Linked DNA regions of Saccharomyces cerevisiae S288C. Changing the gene in region 2 together with the main gene of any one other region gives a genetic interaction. Each region holds a gene or a part of one and is shown on either strand. Other genes may lie near its edges. The genes, in order: NBP2, CKB1, RPN4 and OPI3.

Region 1 (3,959 bases), on a different chromosome or scaffold from region 2:
GAACTTATACCTAAAAGCATCTTCAGGCTGAGGATTAAAAAAGGAATATGAGTGAACTTGAAGCCACAATTAGGCAAGCCAAAGAAGCCCTGGCTGAAAATAATGCCAAAAAGGCGCTCAAAATATTGAAGCCGTTCAAAAGTTCACTGAAAAAAGAAAACGCAAACAATGTAATACTGAATGAAGTGTTTGCCGATGCATACCTGGATAATGGACAGGTAGAGAAAGCCTACCCAATTTTAGCGCGTGCTTGCGAATTAGATCCTGAGGGACAAGTTGGCGGACCGGACAAATTTTTTACCATGGGTCAAATCATGGGTGGACAGGATGGTGTATCGATAATAACTCGCGGAATAATGAACATCTCTAATACTGGAGGTGAAATGTTAACCAACGTTCAGGTTGAAAAGATTGTAGGTGGACTGCTTTCTGTGATTGAAATTTGGATGACGGATTTATGTATGGAGCCAAATGCAGAAGAGCAGTGTGAGGAGTTAATACAAAAGGCGATGGAACTCACAGAGGGAAAATCTCCTGAAACATGGTCTACCCTGGGTTCTATCAAAATCTCGCAACAAAAATTTGGAGAAGCTTATGAAGCATTCTCACAAGCCTGGAATTTCTTTGAGTTGAAAAAACAAGAAATTGGTAGCGGTATAAATGAAAATGGTGACACAACTCAGAAAGCTGGTTTACAGTCAGAGTATGTAGATCTTTTACAACCTCTTTTATCTTTAACAAAGATGTGCCTCGAAGTGGGAGCTTACGAAGTCGCATTGAAAGTTATTGCCGCAGTAAGAGATATAGATGAGGATAACATAGAGGGTTATTATCTAGAGGGTTTTACTTATTATTTAATGAGTAAATTAGAAATTTTCAAGTTGAACAATCCCGAAGTAAGCCTGCGTCCGGAAAATATATACGAGTTTAACCAACTCATTCAAGAAGTTCCTTTGGATTTATCCCACGAACCAATCTCCCAGTTAATCTATGACTCAAGATTAGCGCTAAGTTTTGCATTGCAAGCAGGTGTCAATGCTGACAGCAAAGATGAAATTGTGCAAGAATTATTGGGCGGTGCTAATGCTTTACTCCAAGAAATTGGTGGTCCTCTAGATCCAAGTGAGTTAACACAAATCAAGAAGGGTGATTTAGTGAATGAGAATGAAGACTTGGAAGAGTTGGACATAGAGGAAGAATATTCTGACTAATAGTCTTCTAATTTAACATATGCATAAGTACATACACTGATATATATGTATATATCCGTAAGAAACGGAAATTATGACATAGAACAGATGGAAGAAGATTCGGCCAGGCATACCGCCAGGGTGGTGACCTCTTTATCTGTTTTTAGTGAGTATTTTACTGTCATAACCAATTGGAATTTGTATTCAATCCGATATATCTAATTTTGTTTTCATATCTGCTTCGACCTCCGCAACATCATCAATATCTTCCCATTCATCGTTGTCGTCGTATTCATCTTCGTTAGTGTTATCAATATTGTTTTTAGGACTAACGCTCTGTGTAATCAAATGTGTCAAATAGAAAGGTCGAGCCTTATTCTCCACCTCGTTCTCACCATCTTCCGGCTGTATATAAGAGACAAACTCCTCCGGTACCAACCCTGTTTTTGATCCTGACTCATTTTCTGCTACTAGCCAACCTTGCCCATGCTTGTAACTGATAAATACGATGTCACCCTCAGCCAATCTCAATTCATTATCATTTTCGGGTTCGAAATCGTAGAGGGCAACAGCACGTTGGTTAACTATGTAGTCGTCTGGTAGTGTTATACTTTGTCTTTTATTGTATGTGTCTTCTCCATTTGAAGAATCTGAAACCATTTCATCCTCCTCATTGTCTCCATCAAAATAACCATAATGGAGAGGATTCGAATCTGCGTACGCATAATCTTTGATTGATATATAACCTATTGTGGTTGTTTCTGTATCTTCCATTGTGTCACTATTTCCTGCCTGCACTGCCTCCACCTCTCTCCCGTTCTGTAATACTGCCTCATTGAGAACACCTATAGTTTTTTTGAGACCAGATTTCAAAATATTGGTATCTTTTTGTGTGGTCGTTTCCATCGTTGCCATCGTAGATTCAATAAATATGTCAGTGGAAGTTAAAGTAAGGTAAAGTTGAGAAAAATACTTAAAATTTGTTAGTATCTATCACGTTTTATTGGTAGCTGTTATTATGTGTGATTGAGCGTGTTGTTACTGTGCACTGTGTTGCATTGTCCATTACAAGCTACTTCTGAAGTGAATTCTCCATTTCTCGCAACTGGAAAAATAAGTTGGTGTGACTAAAAATAATAGTCTATCTCTTCACGAAAAGGAAATAGGAATGACAAAGCTCCAAAAGGCTCCATAAAGAACTTGCTCAGAGGCTGGCATTTGAAAGGGCTACAAGACCATGACCACATCACACAGACCACAGTTAGAAGCAAGAAGCGGTGCAAAAGCGGCCGCTTATACACCAACAGGCATCGAGCATGCCAGATTACTACCAGGACATACAACATTAAAATACAGGAAATTTAAAGAGGAGGAAAATCTTAGAGCAAACTGTGCGCAAGAAGATAGGAGCAACGATAAATCTTTAGAGGAGGCAGTAATGAACGAAGAGAAACAGGATGTTGTGGGGAGTGGGAACCTCCAAGAAACCCGCAGTGAGAAAGACCAAAAAGACTCGTTGCAAGAGCTGCTGGTTACTCAAAAAAATAAAGTGGAAGATAAAGCAGAGCTTGAAGGAAATGAACAATTAAAGGGAGGAAATTCGTCTAGGCGATCGTGGAGAAAGGGCACGGCGTTTGGACGCCATAAAGTAACCAAAGAGACAAATATTAAGGAACATGCAACAAAAAAATCAGCGTCCGGATACATTAACGATATGACAAAATCTGAATATCATCAAGAATTTCTCCATAAGCATGTTAGATAGTACATAGGAACGATACATAAATAGTACGTTTATATCTTTTTTTTTTGACAAGAGCAAGTGATTTTTTTTATCACTGTCTTCTTTAAGGGATCATTTATCATGGTGAGATTTTCTTTTCAAGAACCTCGAGAATTTGCTACGTTTCTTCTCTTTTTCGGGTGGTTCTGACTTGAGAGAACCTGCTGCTTTGGGACTAGAAGTACCAGACTTAGGACTATTGTCTTGGCTTTTTAAATGAACATGAGAGACTGGTTGTGCCACCGGTTTCATTTCCCTTAGAAGGAAATCAGGCGGGTTTACTTGCTGGCGCTGATCTTCCTTGAATTTGAAAAATTCTCTAGGATTTTGTAAACGTTCCACTTCATCTAAGAATTTTGTTGGTGTTAATATCTCGTCGCTGCCAATAAAGATATCTCTGTTCTTCAAGTTTGATTGATCATAAGCAGCTTTAATTTCGGGAATTGATATACCACCAATAACATAGTAGAAGAATCTTTGTCTAGGTATGTTTTTTTTTATATTAGAGCTTTTCGTGGTCCAAGCTGCCTTGTGACGGGGATTCCTTAAGGATGAGGAGGAGTTAGCAGAGGTATTCGCTAAGCCTGCTTGGAATTCTTCTTCATTCAATAACTCAATTGGCTTGTCCTTTAAATATGGGAAGTATTGTTCGCTCAATAACAATGGATTCGCTATAACCTTTGAAAGAATATTCCCTACAGCGGGAACGAACCTTGAAGTGTGATAGATATTTGGATCATTCACTAAAGTATCATGAAACCATTCCTTTTGAAATGGTTTATCCTTCGGTTTGTCTTTGATCAATTTGAAATCAATTAAATCGTAATTTCTGAATATTTTTAAATATTGCTGGAAATTTTCATGTTCATGAGTAACTCCTATAAAGTTCAATAATTTAATGAAGTCTAACTCGATAATTCCACCTCTGAAAAGAGCATACGCAATAATGTAACGCAATTTATCTAAGATTGTCGGTTCCTTCATTG
Region 2 (4,565 bases):
AGTCATCAACTCTTAATCAAGCTTACCATACTCTCAAAGATCCCCTTAGAAGGTCACAATATATGCTAAAACTCTTGCGCAATATCGATTTGACGCAAGAACAGACCTCAAATGAAGTAACTACCAGTGATCCACAGTTACTATTGAAAGTTCTAGACATCCATGATGAATTATCCCAGATGGACGACGAAGCTGGTGTGAAGCTGCTTGAAAAGCAAAACAAGGAAAGAATTCAAGATATTGAAGCCCAGTTGGGACAATGCTACAATGACAAGGATTACGCCGCCGCAGTGAAGTTGACCGTGGAGCTAAAGTACTGGTACAACTTGGCCAAGGCATTCAAAGACTGGGCTCCAGGAAAACAATTGGAAATGAATCACTAAAGTACTCCAAAGTGGTAATAGTAATAATAATAATAGTGGTGATATAAAAACTGAAACAATGTAAATAGGTAAAGTACATATGTATATGGTAGGGCAAAGAGGAAAATAAATCAAGGGTTAAACCGCCGGTGTCTCGAACTCGCATTTGGCAAATTCTTCCCAGTCCTCCTCCGTGGATGGATATTGTCTCAACCACTTCATTCTAGGACCAGATACTGCCTCATCATTTATCCTGAACCCAAAAACTTTCAACTCGTAGGACTCTTTACTTTTCCTTTCCACATACTCTTCCAATTCTTTGAAATGTTTCAAGAACACACCAGGGAAGCTTGTCCCCCAAAATGCACCTTCTAAGCACAGGAATCTAGATGATTGGGGAAGATACAAGTCCTGACAACTGGGACAGTACAACCTTACGGTGTGTTTCCCAACTGTATCGCTCAACCCACAAGGCAGCAACTGCATGCCATTACAATAGTAACGGGGGCACGTTCCAAATTCCTTGTGGTCGAATTTTTCAGCCATTGCTTGCAGGCCTGGCTTGGTCAGAATAAATCTTGCATGTATCAATCCGTATAACTGTTCTGCTGCGTGCTCGATAATACTCTTGTTCACCACTGGCGACTTGTTTCTCCTTTTGCCTTCATCATGACCGTCATTACTCTGCATCTCTTGATCCACTTCGTCTTCTTCCACCACGTCGTCTTCGTCCTCTTCTTCATCACTCATAGCCTCCAAATCCAATATCAAATCCAGAGCTTTCCGGTAGTGGGGTACCTCTTGGGATAACGAGGTCATATTGAAATCATCCTCGATAAACTCTGTCGGGACTTGGCAGAAGTACTCGTGACCAAATCTGGAACAGAACGATGGAATCCACTCGTCATAAGCTCCACTATCCTCGTCGTCTGAGGACCCTGTACGTGAATAGTCTTCCACAAACTCTTGCGACATAGTTTTCTCTCTCTTTTAGCTAATGGTCGCTTCTAAATACCAATTCACCAATTTACAGATTCGGATTAACGTCACTATCGTGTTTTGCACGTACCAACTACCTCCTGTTTTTGTCATTAGACACTTACCAGTTGATGTTTTCACTTTTTCTTTCCTTCCCAAGAGTGAAAAAAAATCACAGAGTAGTGGTATATACAACAATACCTCGGGATAAAAAGACCAGATAAAAGAAAGCAGGACAGTTTGCAATCCTTGAACTACGTCTAGTTGATTGAAATAGGAGAAATGCATTGGGCAGCAGCGGTAGCGATATTCTTTATTGTGGTCACAAAGTTTCTACAGTATACAAACAAATACCACGAGAAATGGATCTCTAAATTTGCACCAGGAAATGAATTATCCAAAAAATACTTAGCCAAGGTCAAAGAACGTCACGAATTAAAAGAATTCAACAACTCTATCTCCGCGCAGGATAATTATGCCAAATGGACTAAGAACAATAGAAAATTGGACTCGTTAGATAAAGAAATAAATAACTTGAAGGACGAAATACAATCAGAAAATAAAGCCTTTCAGGCCCATCTTCACAAACTCAGGTTATTGGCATTGACGGTGCCATTTTTTGTGTTTAAGATTATGTACGGCAAGACACCAGTTTACAAGTTGAGTTCCTCGACTAGCACCTTGTTCCCTACGTTTGTAAGTGGTGTTTGGTCTCAAGGCTGGTTATATGTTCTCTTGCATCCTCTAAGGACTATTTCTCAGAAATGGCATATAATGGAGGGCAAATTTGGTGCTTCCAAGTTTGATGATATGGCTTTACAGAGTGTCTCTTTGGGAATCTGGGTTTGGGCATTGATGAATGTCATCAACGGCGTGGAATTTATCGTTAAGCAATTGTTTTTGACTCCCAAAATGGAAGCACCTGCATCTGTGGAGACTCAAGAGGAGAAAGCCTTGGATGCTGTCGACGATGCCATTATTTTAGATTAGTGTTATTACATTATGTACGTATATATAATATGTTTATGTATTGGAGTATACAATAGAAAGAAAATGAAATATAAATGTCAACATTCCTATTTGTTTTATTTATAAAGTTTTAGTAAATCTCCAGTATTCTTAATGTCCTCCGTCTCCAATCTTTTGAATAACTGCCCCCCTCTTTTATGAACTGCCAAGTTCATTTCCAAATGGTTTATCACCCTTGCCATTTTATCCCTGTTTGCATCATTCTTACCAAGCTTCCTGTCACCAAACTTTAGTAAAACGCGTGACAGGTAATATAACCAATACAAATTTGTCATGGGCTCAAAAGCTGACGCGTCCATGTTCAACAAGATCCGCATACTTTGATAGATTTCAAACTCAAATTGATACTGGTATTCGTTTATTTTACTCTTGTCTTTCCCATTTAGAAAAAAGAGTGGATGATCTAGCCGTAGATATAAAACATCATCTTGAGGAGTTTGCAATCTACTGCATTTAAAATCAATAATTGTTATATTCCCATTACCATCTATCAAAATATTATCCAAAGTAAGATTACGATGTTCAAATTTCAAATTTTTTTCCAACCCATGAATTATACCAGCACAAGACCAAAAAATCTTTAGAATCTGCTTCCAGTTTTTCAGTGAGATTAACGAAATTGGGGTACCGTGATCTTTGAATAGTAAGTACAAATACAACCCCCCATTTGCCTCTTTAACAACAAAACTTTTCAATAGTTGCGGTATGCCATCAAATTTTTGTTGCATGATTTTGAGTTTTTCCAGTTCCTGCAAAGATAAGAACTTTCTATCCCATGTAATGTCATCAATAGTACCGAGAGAAACTTTTTTACAGATTACTTCACCAATTTGCCAAACATTTGATGTTAATTGTATTGATGACAAATGGTTTACATCGTTGATTAAAGGCAATACATCTCCTTTTGCGGGGTTTAAAATTCTCTTTATATCACAATTTAGTAAAATCTGTCTTAGAAGTGTCTCATCATGATCATTTTTGTTCATCGGTAAAGATGATTTAGAATTTAATGAGAGTAATGAGGTCGAATATCTTAATTTGTTCTGAATTTTATCACGGGAAACTTGGTCCGGTACAGGTAACGATATTCGGTGACTCAACGTAGAATTTTTGGAACTGTAGCTACAAGAGTCATCATTGCTGCTATTAGTTGCTGTCGATGGTGCTATCATGGAGGACTTTCCTTTGTTTCTTTTGAATTTTTGTAAGGATGCATGTGAACTTTTGTGCTTCAAACTTGATTGCGAATTCCTTTTCTTCAACACGTTCAAAGATAGACTTGAGGAAGAAGCTTTGTTTTTCAAAGTAATTTCCATGGAAGATATTGTATCGCTGCTTTCAGAATACGTATTTGAACTGAAGATAGTCTTATGGAAATCTGAAAAGGATGTCTTATGTTTTACCATATTTCTTGGTTCAACGGGCGTCATGGAATCACGACGGTTTACTGCAGGAAAGGTTTTTAAAGAATGGTGGTCTGGTTGCAACAATGCAGGTGTCTGGTTCTTATTTCTCTTCCAGAATCTCCATTTAGACGAGCTGGAAGAAGAGACAGTGGAAGAAATCGACGATCTTCTCGAGGACAATGATGCATTATATAGTGGTTGTTGCTGTTGTGGTTGTGAAGTGGGCCTTTTAGAATGATTAACAAGCGGCTTCAATGGTGTCCTAAGTCTGTTTTCCGAACTAGTGGAAGCAATTGATGAATTTTTTTTGCCCATAGTTGGAGGCAGATTTTCCTTACCTTGCGGAATCCCGATCCCAGGTTGTGATATATCATCGTTTATGCCTATCTTGGTAAACAATTGTCTGAGGGAAAGACCAGTGGACGATCTTTTCAAAGAAGAAGAAGCAGAGATAGAGCTATTAGATGCTACCGTATCTAAGCTTGAATAACTCTGCAAGGATTTTCTTTTTTGTTGCAAAACGTTCCTCGATTCCCTGTCCTTATGAGATTCACTGGTAAAGCTTGAAGAAAGTACAGACCATCTTTTCTTAGATTTAGATGATGAAACAGCAGAATGATTGGATAATAGAGACCATCGTTTTTTGGAATTGGAAGTCGTTTTCCTTGATGTATTATTGCCGGTGGTAACATTTAAAGATGCATCAGACTCCCTCATCTTTAAGATAGCAGAGCTTTCCAGCTCGTCAGCTGTGTCAGCAGTCAAATCAGTGTCACAATCGTCATCATTA
Region 3 (4,918 bases), on a different chromosome or scaffold from region 2:
CATGTTGTTATCACCCCACGACGAAGATAATACGGAGCTCACCGTTTTCTTTTTTTTTCCCTTTGGCTGAAATTTCCCACCAGAACAAACGTGACAAAATTATCTTTGAATCCAAAGTAGCTTATATATATACGTAGAAGTGTTTCGAGACACACATCCAAATACGAGGTTGTTCAATTTAAACCCAAGAATACATAAAAAAAATATAGATATATTAACTTAGTAAACAATGACTGCAAGCACACCATCCAATGTCATGACATTGTTCTTGTTAAGGCATGGACAAAGTGAATTGAATCACGAGAATATATTCTGTGGTTGGATTGACGCTAAGCTAACCGAAAAAGGTAAAGAACAAGCTCGTCATTCTGCCGAGCTAATCGAACAATATTGTAAAGCTAATAATTTGAGATTACCCCAGATTGGTTACACCTCACGTTTAATTAGGACCCAACAGACCATAGAAACGATGTGTGAAGAATTTAAGTTAAAGCCACAACTGCAGGTTGTTTACGACTTTAATAAAATCAAACTTGGAGACGAATTTGGCAGTGATGACAAGGATAATATGAAAATCCCGATTCTTCAAACTTGGAGGCTAAATGAACGTCATTACGGTTCCTGGCAGGGCCAGAGGAAACCGAATGTTTTAAAAGAATATGGTAAGGATAAATATATGTTCATTAGGAGAGATTACGAGGGTAAGCCACCACCTGTAGATCTTGACCGTGAGATGATTCAACAAGAAAATGAGAAGGGCTCTTCTACTGGGTACGAATTCAAGGAGCCAAACAGACAAATAAAATATGAATTGGAATGCAGCAATCATGACATTGTATTACCGGATTCCGAATCTCTTCGTGAAGTGGTTTATAGATTGAATCCTTTTCTACAAAATGTCATATTAAAATTAGCCAATCAATATGATGAATCTTCATGCCTGATTGTGGGCCATGGAAGTTCAGTGAGATCGCTACTGAAAATTCTGGAGGGTATATCAGATGATGACATCAAGAATGTTGATATTCCAAATGGTATCCCCTTAGTCGTTGAATTAGATAAGAATAATGGTCTTAAGTTTATCAGAAAATTCTACCTAGATCCTGAATCTGCTAAGATCAATGCTGAGAAAGTCCGTAATGAGGGTTTCATAAAAAATCCTTAAGGGGGGTAAGTATATAATATAATTGTGTATTTTCCGAAGTATAATGAAAACCAATAGAAAACTTATTATAAGTCCAATGAGGTACTTTAAAAATGTGATATTTATAAGAACATTCCTGAATGCAGATATATGATATATATTGTAAATATATATAGATGTGTATATGTATTTCCATTTTGTGTGAGGTTTTCTTCTTTTATCTCCTATATAATTTGTAACCTTAATTAACCCATGACATAACCAATATTAGCCTTTGCAAATTTTGTAACTTCTTGACGTTGTTCTAACGACAAATCTTCATGCTTCGATTTTATATGCCTTGTTAAAGCATCCAGTCTCGAAAACGTCTTCTGATAGCCCTCAGATCCAAGAATTTTTATACACTCCGAGCAACGGAAGACAATCTTCCTTTTAGCGTGAATGGTATTTTGGTGTCTCGTTAAATCATAGGACCTTGAAAATTGGGCACCACACGGTTCATTTGTAATGAGATTCATTATCTGACACGTAAATATTTCGTTATTACCGTCAGAAGATGACGTATGGGCCGATGGTGATGCAGTCGAAGGTTTCGAATTCGAATTTGTAGATGAATGTGAAGATAAGTGCTTCTTAGTATAATTAATTAGCTTCCGCCTACTAGCATTTGAGCTTACTACAGCTGATGTAGGCTTCTTTATTCTTTCTAATGTGCCGTTTTCATTACTGTTACTAACGCAACTACGGTTACTGGATGATTTTGCTGGTTTCCTTTTACCGGTAGTAGCAGTAGACGGTACGTTTGCCGAGGTTGAGGGAGATGGAAATCTTTCAAAATCAATAGTGTTTTTATTGAGGACAAAACTTTGCTTTCTTCTGTTCTTCAAGAGAGAGATATCGTAGATATCGTCTTCATCAAGATCATTATCCTCATCCTCATCCTCTATCTTCTCATGTCCCCGTTCATCTAACAGATCTTCAGATACAACACTGGAAATGCTGTCCATGTTAGAGTCAACGTAACTGTACTCATTAAATAAATGACTAGAACTCTTGGCACGACCCGTTTTTTGATCTGAGCCAAACATTGAGATTGGTGTAACATCCAATGACAGTAAAGGCTCCTCTTGGTGTTGCTCTTGTTGCAAACAATTTTCTTCTATTTCATCCTCTTCATCATCACTGATATCGTCGTCATCAGAGTCAAATTCATTGTTAAAAATAGCTCTCGCATCCTCATTGTTTATTGCGGCGCTATTATCTTGAAGTGACCACTGCATTTTCGGATTATAATTATCCTCATAGAAAAGCACTTCTTCATCATTACCATATAGATTGTCACCGTTATCGAAAAAATCGTTGGAAATTTTAACATCATAATTGAACGTATTCCGTGTCGGTACATACGGGTCTGATACTTTCATTATATTCTTTAGATTGACGGTCTTCTGCAATGGGGTTTCGCTAGCACCCTTAATCTCGTTTGGTATGAGATGGACATTATTAATCTGTCTATCGTTGGCCGTTGCTTCACTAGTCGTAAAAGAGGTGGTGGTAGTTAAAGTAGGATCCGCGTATTTGTTGAATATCGGGAAATGGTAGGTTTGTTGTGGGGGTATCGAAGCTGCACTCGATTCATTCTGGTGTTGTAATGAATGATTCCACGTAAAAGTGTTGTTTTCCTTGTTCTTATTCACCAACTTATATGGAGTAATACTAGCATTTGGATGATAGTTTTGATAATGACTCGTAAACTGACTGTGACCTGGATTAGTATGGTACAACTCGTCTTCTAAAATATCCGTTAAGGTTCTTTTTAGGCTAAGTTCCGTAGAAGCCATGATTGCTTGAAAATTCTAGAAAACTTTTGAAAAGATACAAATTAGCTATTAGTACTATCTACTATTAGTTCAACTAAAAAGCGGAGTTCTTCCTTGAGGAGAAAAGGATGAACAAAATGGAACTGATCTACTCCTTAAATATTCCACGCCAAGAAGAAAAAAGAGTTTCGGGTTTATCTTTAATTTATATTAGAGATAAAACGTATCCTCCTCCTTGAACGATAAAAAATTATCCGTGTGGGTTAGGCTGCTCATCCCGGGCTTTCCCCAAATTGGGCTTCGAACTATTCTTTCCTTATATAGAATTGCTCTCCTCAACAAGTTTCGCCGAAACGGAACTTTCTAGAACCATCACTGTAAACGGCTATTAGTAATAGCGATCACGTGATTATCCGTGGAAAGGTTCGTACGGGCTGAGGCACCTTTCTTTGAGTTCCACGGAACTTGTTATTACAGGAACAGAAAGGTAGTAAAAAAAGAAGTAACGTCCTCTCAGTGCATATAGTTTGATCTCTATAACAATCCGTAGTTGGTTTTCTCAACAATTAATATTGAATACGTTAGTGATGATTGGTTTTCAACCTCTGCCGCTAATTTAGGCACAGTTCTATCGCAGCCGTAATGGAGGCATTATATAGCACTTTAGCGTCGTAACGAAGGGTTATGGTAACCGCCTAACGATTTTATTTACTCGCTTGTTGCTTGCTTTGTAATTGGTTATATGGATTTCAAAATAATATGGTCATCTGACCATGGTGACATAACCAAAGTGTTCGAAAAGATAACTAAATTGATACATCTAGGAAAACTGAAGGAAATCCCTATTGTTAAGTAAACATACTATATATGCCAAAAGAAACAAATGTGCGGTAGAATAAAATACAATTCAGTACAATAAAATACATTCAAAATACATACAAGTACCAGGAAAAAAGCTCGCATAAAAAAGGCGTGTTAAAAAATGTCACCACAATCTTTCAAATCATGATCTCTTCTTTTAACCCAATATTTGCCCGTATATCTCCAATATTTAGCTTTTGTGATGGGATGAGTATCCCTGACGAACCATTGTGGGTGATATTCAAGGTTATTTTCCTCCCTTTTTCTGCGTGCTGCTCTTTGCTTTTCTTCAACTCTGAATTTCTCATCACCAGCTTCGTCATAACGCCCATCTTCCATTGCTCTTTGATCTGGTCTCAAACGTGTATCTGTGGGGGGTAACCATGGCAATAGATGTGGTTGTGGAGCATTCAGCGTGATAGCAAAAGGTGTTAAATTGAATGGCTCCTCAGGACGGTCGTTTGCCTTCCATATTAAAAACTTCGTTCCGTCATCCGTAGGCCCATTCCCTGCTGATGCAGCGGTTCTAGTTTTCTCCAACGAGAGATCGCCATCTTTTACTACTTTCTTGGCAAAAATAGCTTCATTCCAGTGTCCTCCTAGGATCCACACCTTCTGTTTTTTCTTGTTGTAGACTTCGCCTGTGATTTCATATGCTCCTGATGACCTCCATCCCCTTGCTTTGAAATACAACTTGCAATGATCACCGGTTGTGTGATTGACAACGTTCACTTCACCGTGGTTATCAACTTGTGGATTACCAATGAGAATACCTATAACAGTATTGTTGGGCTTCTTCCAAGTATACAGTTCCTCTTTTTCATTGTCATTTGGACGCAACTTAATGTGCCATAATCCTAAGTGCTTAACATTGAAAGATCTGCCATTGAATTTAGTATCAACAAATGATTCACCCCAAAAGTCCCATCTTGGTGATTCAGTCCATGTTGCAGATATAGGAGGGTGATGTGAAACCTGCTCGGTGAAAAATCTGTACTGTTTATCTGGTCGAGAATACTCAAATGTTTCACCCAACAATGGGTTGAAGGGTTTCGCAACTCTTTTTGTAGTAGATGCGTATGAAGATGCGGTA
Region 4 (7,940 bases), on a different chromosome or scaffold from region 2:
ACGTGTGCAAGTATTGTGTATTATTATTATTATTATCATTATTTTTGTAATATCTCGTCATTATGTGAAATGAAGGATGATATAAGGTACATAAATTGTGAAATCAACTCCATTTAAAACAACTTTATTGGATAGATGGCACATGGTACTTTTCACAATAGGTATTGGCAATATCAGTCCATTTTGTTATGAGCGGATGTTTTTCTTGCAAGTCAAAGTTTGGATCAAATATGGACTTACTAAGTACTTTGTTAATGCGTAATTCTTTTTGAGCATCAATATATGCCTTACTGAGGTCCTCATCTTCATCACCAAAACGTGTTCGTAGGCCAAGTAAAATCCCCATAATTATGCCAACTTGTTTCCCTAATTTAGCGCCCGTTGGGAAACCATCATTGAAACCCTCTTGCAGCTTTTCTTCTTTAGAACTCACTATTCCGTCCAAGTACCCCCTCTTGCTATGATTCTCTCTTAACTTCACTAAATCTGGAGATCGTTCAGTTTCGACATCACTGTCTGATGCCCATACATCGTCCCAAGTATTCGACATCTCTATATACTATTGTAACACTGTTCCTTTTTTGTTCTCTTCTATCAAAAACCTTTCTCATCGTTATTTTTCACTCTTTTACTTCGCGTATTTCAAAGCAATCAGGAAGTAACTCAAGCGAACAAGTCAATGCTATAAGAGAAGTAAAATAGAGAGACAGCGAGAAATACTGGGGGAAAGTATTGGCAATCACTTGAGATGTTTGAAGGGTTTGGTCCAAATAAAAAGCGTAAGATATCAAAGTTAGCCGCAGAGCAATCATTGGCACAACAACCCTGGGTTGAGAAATACAGGCCCAAAAACCTAGATGAAGTGACAGCTCAAGATCATGCCGTTACTGTTTTGAAGAAAACCTTAAAGTCAGCTAATCTACCACATATGTTGTTTTATGGTCCCCCAGGAACTGGTAAAACGTCTACCATTTTAGCGCTAACAAAAGAATTATATGGACCCGACTTGATGAAATCAAGAATATTGGAGTTGAACGCTTCTGACGAACGTGGTATCTCTATTGTAAGAGAAAAGGTAAAAAATTTTGCAAGATTGACTGTATCCAAGCCTAGCAAACATGACTTGGAGAACTATCCGTGCCCACCGTATAAGATCATTATTCTCGATGAGGCCGATTCAATGACTGCCGATGCACAGAGTGCATTACGTAGAACAATGGAAACCTATTCAGGAGTAACAAGATTCTGTTTGATTTGTAATTATGTGACAAGAATTATTGACCCGCTAGCGTCCCGTTGTTCCAAATTTAGATTCAAAGCCCTAGACGCAAGTAATGCCATTGACCGTTTGAGGTTTATCAGCGAACAAGAAAATGTTAAATGTGATGATGGAGTTTTGGAAAGGATCTTGGACATTTCGGCAGGTGACTTGAGAAGAGGCATTACATTATTACAATCCGCTTCCAAGGGGGCGCAATACTTGGGTGATGGTAAAAACATAACTTCTACCCAAGTGGAAGAATTAGCTGGTGTGGTACCTCATGACATTCTAATAGAAATTGTTGAAAAAGTCAAAAGTGGTGATTTTGATGAGATTAAGAAATACGTCAATACGTTTATGAAAAGCGGTTGGTCTGCTGCGTCAGTAGTTAACCAACTACATGAATATTACATCACCAACGATAACTTTGATACGAACTTCAAAAATCAAATATCTTGGTTGCTGTTTACTACGGATTCCAGATTAAACAACGGAACGAACGAGCACATCCAATTATTAAACTTATTGGTTAAAATATCCCAACTCTAATATACAGGCATCTTTATATAATTGAATATAGAGGCGACATAAAGTAAGAATAAAAAAAAAAAAATCTATCCATAATTCCTCTTATCTTCTCAGCACATCACCTAAAAGTCATTTTGATACAAGTACTCTTTAAACTGAGCGAAGGCTTTACCACGATGAGAAATAGCATTCTTTGCGTCTTTGCTCATCTCTGCGTAAGTCAGTCCATGACTATCAAAAGGTTCAAAAATTGAATCCCAGCCGAATGTAGTGGGTCCCCGGCTTGGAACGATCTTGCCTCTTGTAATACCTTGAAAGAAGTGATATTCACCCCGAGAATCAGCAAAACAAATGGTGGTAACTGCTTCAGCGTTTTTATTTTCAAAGGGTTCCAACATTTTCACAATTTTTTCCAATCCCATGCTCTTTAAAAACCATTTTATATAAGCACCTGGTAGACCGTTAAATTCGTCAAATCTCAACGCAGTGTCTTCCACAAACACTGGCTTACCCTTACCCAAGGCCGCAACAGCTTGCTTTCCCTTAGCTAACGCAATGGCATTCAGATCCGTGTCCTGCAATTCTTCCAGGTCTAAGGCCTCATTGATTAAGTGGATGGTTTTGTTGTTGTTGTCGACCTCTTGAGTCAAAATCGACTGCACTTCCTTTAACTTGTTGGCATTGCCAGTGACAAATACAATTTCGTTGTTGCTCATTCTGCTATCGTTCGTTTTTAGATATCTCTATGTGAGTGTTTCCTATGCTTTGAAGACCAGTGTTGAAAGCTGAAGCTCGAGAGAACGGTTTCGAAAATAAATAATTTTTTTGCTATTTGATACATTTGTATATATAACGGAAATGGCGGGTTTTGAAAAGTATAAAATACAAGATTATACAATGATTATTGTTACTATCATTATTGATGATGCTGATTCTTCTAATTAGCAGTTGGAGCATATTCTAGTTCGTTGCTGTTTTCGTAATCATACATATCTAGCGCAACGATACAAGATTCTCTGACGACATCGACTTCATCGTTGAGGTAAGATTTCAAGACGTCGACAACTTCTGGAGAAGCAATGGCACCCAAGGCTTCAGCAGCTTCATGCCTAACCATTGGAGCTTCTTCCTTTCTGCCCAAAACTTCAATCAAACTTGGGACAGCAGCCGGACTACCTATTTGACCGAAGACGTAGGCGATTTCATGCTTGAAAAGGGAGGATTCTGCACTGAAACCAGTGGCCAAGGCCAGGATTGCTTCATCAGTACCGATATCTCTCAGTCTGAACATGGCTCTGTATCTTTGGAACAAAGGTTGCTTAGGATCATTCAATAAGGCCTGTAGTTCTGGGATGGTAGCATCCTTTTCTAATGGTAGAGGTGGGGCTGGGTCAATACTCGAGTATAGGGATTGTTGCAAGTTTTCCTTATCCTTGGCACCTCCATGGGTCCAGTTGATTCTGTTAATGGCCAGTTCACAGGTTTCTCTCACAGCAACGTGTGGATCCTCCTTAGCAGCCTTATTTAGGTCATCCAACGAATCCTTGTCACCTAGGGCACCCAAAGCCTCAGCGGCTTCGTGTCTCACCATTGGTTCTTGATTTTGATCTAACATAACGTGTCTTAAAGTTGGAGCAGCGTCCAAGTTCTTGGTTTGACCCAACACGTAGGCCACTTCGTGCTTCAACAACTCAGACTTGTCATTGACGAAGGATTCGGCAATGTATTCGATGGCCTTTTTGGCTTCCTCTGGCTTAGTGGCAAATTCTTCAGCAACAGTCTTTAAGTTGAACAGAGCTCTAAATCTGTTGGCCAAAACTGTTTTGCCGGACTTGTTGACTAAGATGTCCCTTAGTTGCTCTAGAGTGCATTCATCGACGTTTTCTTGGAAATGTTTTTCAAAGTTAGTAGACATGTTTTTTTTTTTCTTTCTTGCGTGGTATGTTAGAAGGACTACAGTTTATCCTAACCTAAACCTAGAGCTACCGTCAAATATACACGTGTATTCACTGGATTTGCCTTATGTAATTTATATGATAAAAACTTTTCAGCTCATCGAGAAAAATTTTCTTTCCTCCCACGCAGGATAGAGAAAAAAAAAAAATTTTTTTTTTTTCTTGTTTCTCACTGCATTCTACAGGGATTTCTGTGGAAGGATTACCTCTATTGTTCAAAAGATAATAAACGTGGGAGTTTATCTGACGTTCGTCTTTGCAATTCCATTGTCTTTTTTTTTCTCTGCGGGTCGAATGATCGCCGAACCAAAGGACTATACGTAGTTATTTAGTTTCTAATATACTTCGCGATATTTTCTGCAGTCTCGCTACTGGCCGTTTTCCCTACTTGTTGCATAGCTTCCTGATATCTCCTTTGTAGGTCTGGAGCAGAGTTCTCGTTGACCTCACCTTTTGTTCTTTCTTCGCCTGGGAACGTGTATTCTCTCTCAACGCCTTCGTCCTCATCCCTATCCACAAGACCATCATTGGCATCCTCTTCGAGGTCGCTAATGGCATCTATGCTGTCGTTGTCGCTGGCTGCAGCGCTGCTCTTCTCGTTTAACCCTAGATCCTTCATCAGGCCATTCAATGATTTTTGCTTTCTCATCTCTTCCTTTTTCTTTTTTAGGTTCAATGCTTTTTCACGTTCTTGCTTATAGTATTGGTCGTATTCATCAACTTTCTTGTCTACGCATTGCATAAATTCGTCGAATCCGTCTCCGGTAAAACTGGAAACGCCCACGACGTCTAGCTGGGAATAGAATTCTTCAAGCATCAGTGACATAGAATTGACCAATGAGCTCATGTACCCGGAGCCCAGCCCATTGTCACCATTCAAGTCTTGATCTTCCTTGATTGCTGCTTGGAAACTCTCAAAATCCGTCATCCATTCCTTAGCAAAATCTGCCTTGCACACGTCGGTCTTGTTGAAAACGACAATCATGGGAAGTTTGGTCTTATACAGAATGGAGCAGGCGTACAGCATGTTACTCATGAATGTAGTTGGGGATGAGTTTCTAGGCGTATCCACGATATATGCAATCACTGTGGGAAAGCTGGAGGCAAAAGATTCCGTGATAATGGCACCCGACGCACTCCACACAAAACATTCGATTTGGCCTGGAGTGTCGATGATGCAGTTTTGGAACTTGTCCTTCTTCTGTTCCACCAACCTAATAACTTGATCAATCTTGGTGCTGAACAAATTCAAACTGGTGACAATGGCACCGTTCGGACCTAGCTGGTAATTCTCCATCACTTTCTTGTATTTGATTGAGTCTCTGATATCGATGTTTGCACCATAGGGGACTCTCAATACTGCAGGATCAAGATTGATTACGTATGGTGGCGTTTTCTCTGCCCGCAAGTGGGAGTTTAACCTTTGCATGAAAGTTGTTTTACCGGATCCGGCCATACCAATACATATGATTGTGCTGAGACTCATTCTTGCTGTGTCGTTATTGCGTTTTGTAGTTGTTTGTGTGCGCTAGATGCTCTCATTGTATTCCTTGTTAAATAGAGCATCGCATTAAAATTTTTTTTTTTCACTTTCGCGAAGAAATTGCTTATGGAGCTATATAGAAACGGTAATAGCATAGGCTTCTAACATTATAGAATATATAGAAATAGAGCACTTACATATTCTTTTTGGCCTTATCACGGTTAGCGTAGATCATGGCAGTAAAAGGTTCTTCCCAACGAAGAGCGATCTTGTACATGAAGTAAACTACGGCAGAAACAACCAGCCCCGCAGGCTTTCCTTTGTAAAGGGCTATGCCCAAGAAGGACAAAGTGGAACCCTGGTACATGGGGTTGTTGGAAACGTTGAAGGGGAAGCCGGTGACTCTCTCATCCATCAGGATGCCGAAATAGTCACCCAAGTACGTCCCTGTGATACCCAGCTTGTACATGGAACTCAAAACAAGCACTTGCCCCAAACCAAAGAGAGCCACACCCAGCTTGGTCCAGTTCTCGCCCGTGATCAGAGAACACGTAGGCTGTTCACGCAATGCAGACTCGTACACCATGTCTCTGACGATACCTAGCGAAAATATGGTCGCCGCCAACATGTAACAGCCCTTTCTGGCCCCACCACACATCTTGGTGAGAGAATGCTTGTGGTATTCCATTCTTGCAACGATGTTCCAAAAGATAGGATTGAACATCGTGCACACAATGGCCAGCTGGAACTTGGAAGACTGTAAATCGACACTGTGGATGAGTTGCTGGATGATCTCTTGGACTGACTCCTTCATCGCTTGACTTGCGCTATTCTTGTTGTCTTCAATTGCTGTTTATGGCTCTGTCCAAGAACGTTCATGTTCTTCATATGTGTTCTCTTATAAAGACCCCTTATCCAGTGGTCATTGCAGTGGCAGTGGACAGAAACCAACGATGCATGTGTGGGTTTGCATATGAAGATTGAAAAGGCTTCTCATATTTCACAACCGGTGCAACTTTCCACATGCACTCTCATTGACACCTACCCTGGTCATCAAGGAAGCATGAACAACAAGGAAGTCGAATTATACGGCGGCGCCATCACTACTGTCGTCCCACCTGGGTTTATAGACGCTTCTACTCTAAGAGAAGTCCCCGATACACAGGAGGTGTACGTCAATTCCCGTCGCGATGAAGAAGAATTCGAAGATGGACTAGCCACCAATGAAAGCATTATCGTGGATCTCTTGGAGACGGTCGACAAGAGCGATCTGAAGGAGGCTTGGCAGTTCCACGTGGAAGACCTGACGGAGTTGAACGGGACCACCAAATGGGAAGCTTTACAAGAAGACACTGTTCAGCAAGGAACCAAGTTCACCGGACTCGTTATGGAAGTAGCAAATAAGTGGGGAAAACCAGATCTGGCACAGACCGTTGTCATCGGCGTAGCGTTGATCAGATTAACCCAGTTTGACACGGATGTGGTCATCTCCATTAATGTACCTTTGACAAAGGAGGAGGCGTCGCAAGCAAGCAACAAAGAGTTGCCTGCAAGATGTCATGCTGTTTACCAATTGTTGCAAGAAATGGTACGGAAGTTTCACGTTGTGGACACGTCGCTGTTTGCTTAATCTTTCAAATTTTAACCTTATGTTTATATTACCTTTTTATTTCTACTATATAGCGTATTACATGTTTTTTCCGATAAGTATAACGAAATTTCCCAGCAGCGAAGAAAGTGAAAAAATAACAGTGACCATAATGAACATTCCTCTCTTTCCATTTTGCACGTATTCTTGCAGAGAAGAGGCACTCTACTCGGAAGACAGCAGATAGATATATAGACTGTAGCGGTTAACGATGGCCAAAACAACAAAAAGAGCCTCCAGTTTCAGGAGGTTGATGATATTCGCCATAATAGCCCTCATCTCATTAGCATTTGGAGTTAGATACCTATTTCACAATTCTAATGCTACTGATTTACAAAAAATTCTGCAGAACTTGCCCAAAGAGATTTCCCAAAGCATTAATAGTGCCAACAATATTCAGAGTTCGGATTCTGATCTAGTTCAACATTTTGAGAGTTTGGCTCAGGAGATCAGACACCAACAGGAAGTTCAAGCAAAGCAATTTGATAAACAACGTAAGATCCTGGAAAAAAAAATCCAAGACTTGAAACAAACACCTCCGGAGGCCACCCTAAGAGAACGCATAGCTATGACTTTCCCCTACGATTCCCATGTCAAGTTCCCAGCATTTATTTGGCAAACTTGGTCCAATGATGAAGGTCCCGAGCGTGTTCAAGATATAAAGGGCATGTGGGAAAGCAAGAATCCGGGCTTTGCGCACGAAGTGTTGAACCATGACGTGATAAACGCACTAGTACACCACTACTTCTACTCCATACCGGAAATCCTAGAGACTTACGAAGCTCTGCCCTCCATCATCCTAAAGATAGATTTTTTCAAATACTTAATACTGTTAGTTCATGGAGGTGTTTATGCTGACATCGACACGTTCCCTGTTCAGCCAATTCCAAACTGGATTCCTGAAGAGTTGTCGCCATCCGACATTGGGTTGATAGTTGGAGTTGAGGAAGACGCTCAAAGAGCTGACTGGAGAACCAAGTATATCAGAAGACTTCAGTTTGGTACTTGGATTATACAAGCAAAACCTGGTCACCCTGTTTTGAGGGAAATCATTTCTCGAATTAT

Evidence for each region.
Region 1: mutations in CKB1 (region 2) and NBP2 together harm fitness more than expected from each alone (negative genetic interaction), as found in Saccharomyces cerevisiae (5 studies listed by BioGRID).
Region 3: mutations in CKB1 (region 2) and RPN4 together harm fitness more than expected from each alone (negative genetic interaction), as found in Saccharomyces cerevisiae (5 studies listed by BioGRID, with this or other methods).
Region 4: mutations in CKB1 (region 2) and OPI3 together harm fitness more than expected from each alone (negative genetic interaction), as found in Saccharomyces cerevisiae (5 studies listed by BioGRID).

Annotation. Positions count from the first base shown.
Region 1 is NC_001136.10:778,996-782,954, forward strand, and holds NBP2 (adaptor protein NBP2), read right to left. Parts: upstream 2,106-3,959; coding exon 1,395-2,105; downstream 1-1,394. Other genes in the region: ACL4 (Acl4p), read left to right, coding at 48-1,211; U2-type spliceosomal complex subunit CWC15, read left to right, coding at 2,428-2,955; SEC1 (Sec1p), read right to left, coding at 3,046-3,959. UniProt on the Saccharomyces cerevisiae protein: Negatively regulates the high-osmolarity glycerol (HOG) pathway through its negative regulation of the HOG1 kinase activity. Mediates the binding between the PTC1 phosphatase and the PBS2 MAP/ERK kinase (MEK).
Region 2 is NC_001139.9:454,928-459,492, reverse strand, and holds CKB1 (casein kinase 2 regulatory subunit CKB1), read right to left. Parts: upstream 1,338-4,565; coding exon 501-1,337; downstream 1-500. Other genes in the region: J-type chaperone JAC1, read left to right, coding at 1-383; GET complex subunit GET1, read left to right, coding at 1,623-2,330; protein kinase ALK1, read right to left, coding at 2,426-4,565. UniProt on the Saccharomyces cerevisiae protein: Regulatory subunit of casein kinase II/CK2.
Region 3 is NC_001136.10:413,724-418,641, forward strand, and holds RPN4 (stress-regulated transcription factor RPN4), read right to left. Parts: upstream 2,986-4,918; coding exon 1,390-2,985; downstream 1-1,389. Other genes in the region: phosphoglycerate mutase family protein GPM2, read left to right, coding at 230-1,165; oxysterol-binding protein related protein OSH2, read right to left, coding at 3,940-4,918. UniProt on the Saccharomyces cerevisiae protein: Acts as a transcriptional activator of a number of genes encoding proteasomal subunits. Binds to a PACE (proteasome-associated control element) DNA sequence 5'-GGTGGCAAA-3'.
Region 4 is NC_001142.9:566,895-574,834, forward strand, and holds OPI3 (bifunctional phosphatidyl-N-methylethanolamine N-methyltransferase/phosphatidyl-N-dimethylethanolamine N-methyltransferase), read right to left. Parts: upstream 6,042-7,940; coding exon 5,421-6,041; downstream 1-5,420. Other genes in the region: YAE1 (Yae1p), read right to left, coding at 125-550; RFC2 (replication factor C subunit 2), read left to right, coding at 749-1,810; nucleoside triphosphate pyrophosphohydrolase HAM1, read right to left, coding at 1,912-2,505; LIA1 (deoxyhypusine monooxygenase), read right to left, coding at 2,727-3,704; GTPase NPA3, read right to left, coding at 4,073-5,230; Ran GTPase-binding protein MOG1, read left to right, coding at 6,201-6,857; HOC1 (alpha-1,6-mannosyltransferase), read left to right, coding at 7,087-7,940. UniProt on the Saccharomyces cerevisiae protein: Catalyzes the second two steps of the methylation pathway of phosphatidylcholine biosynthesis, the SAM-dependent methylation of phosphatidylmonomethylethanolamine (PMME) to phosphatidyldimethylethanolamine (PDME) and of PDME to phosphatidylcholine (PC).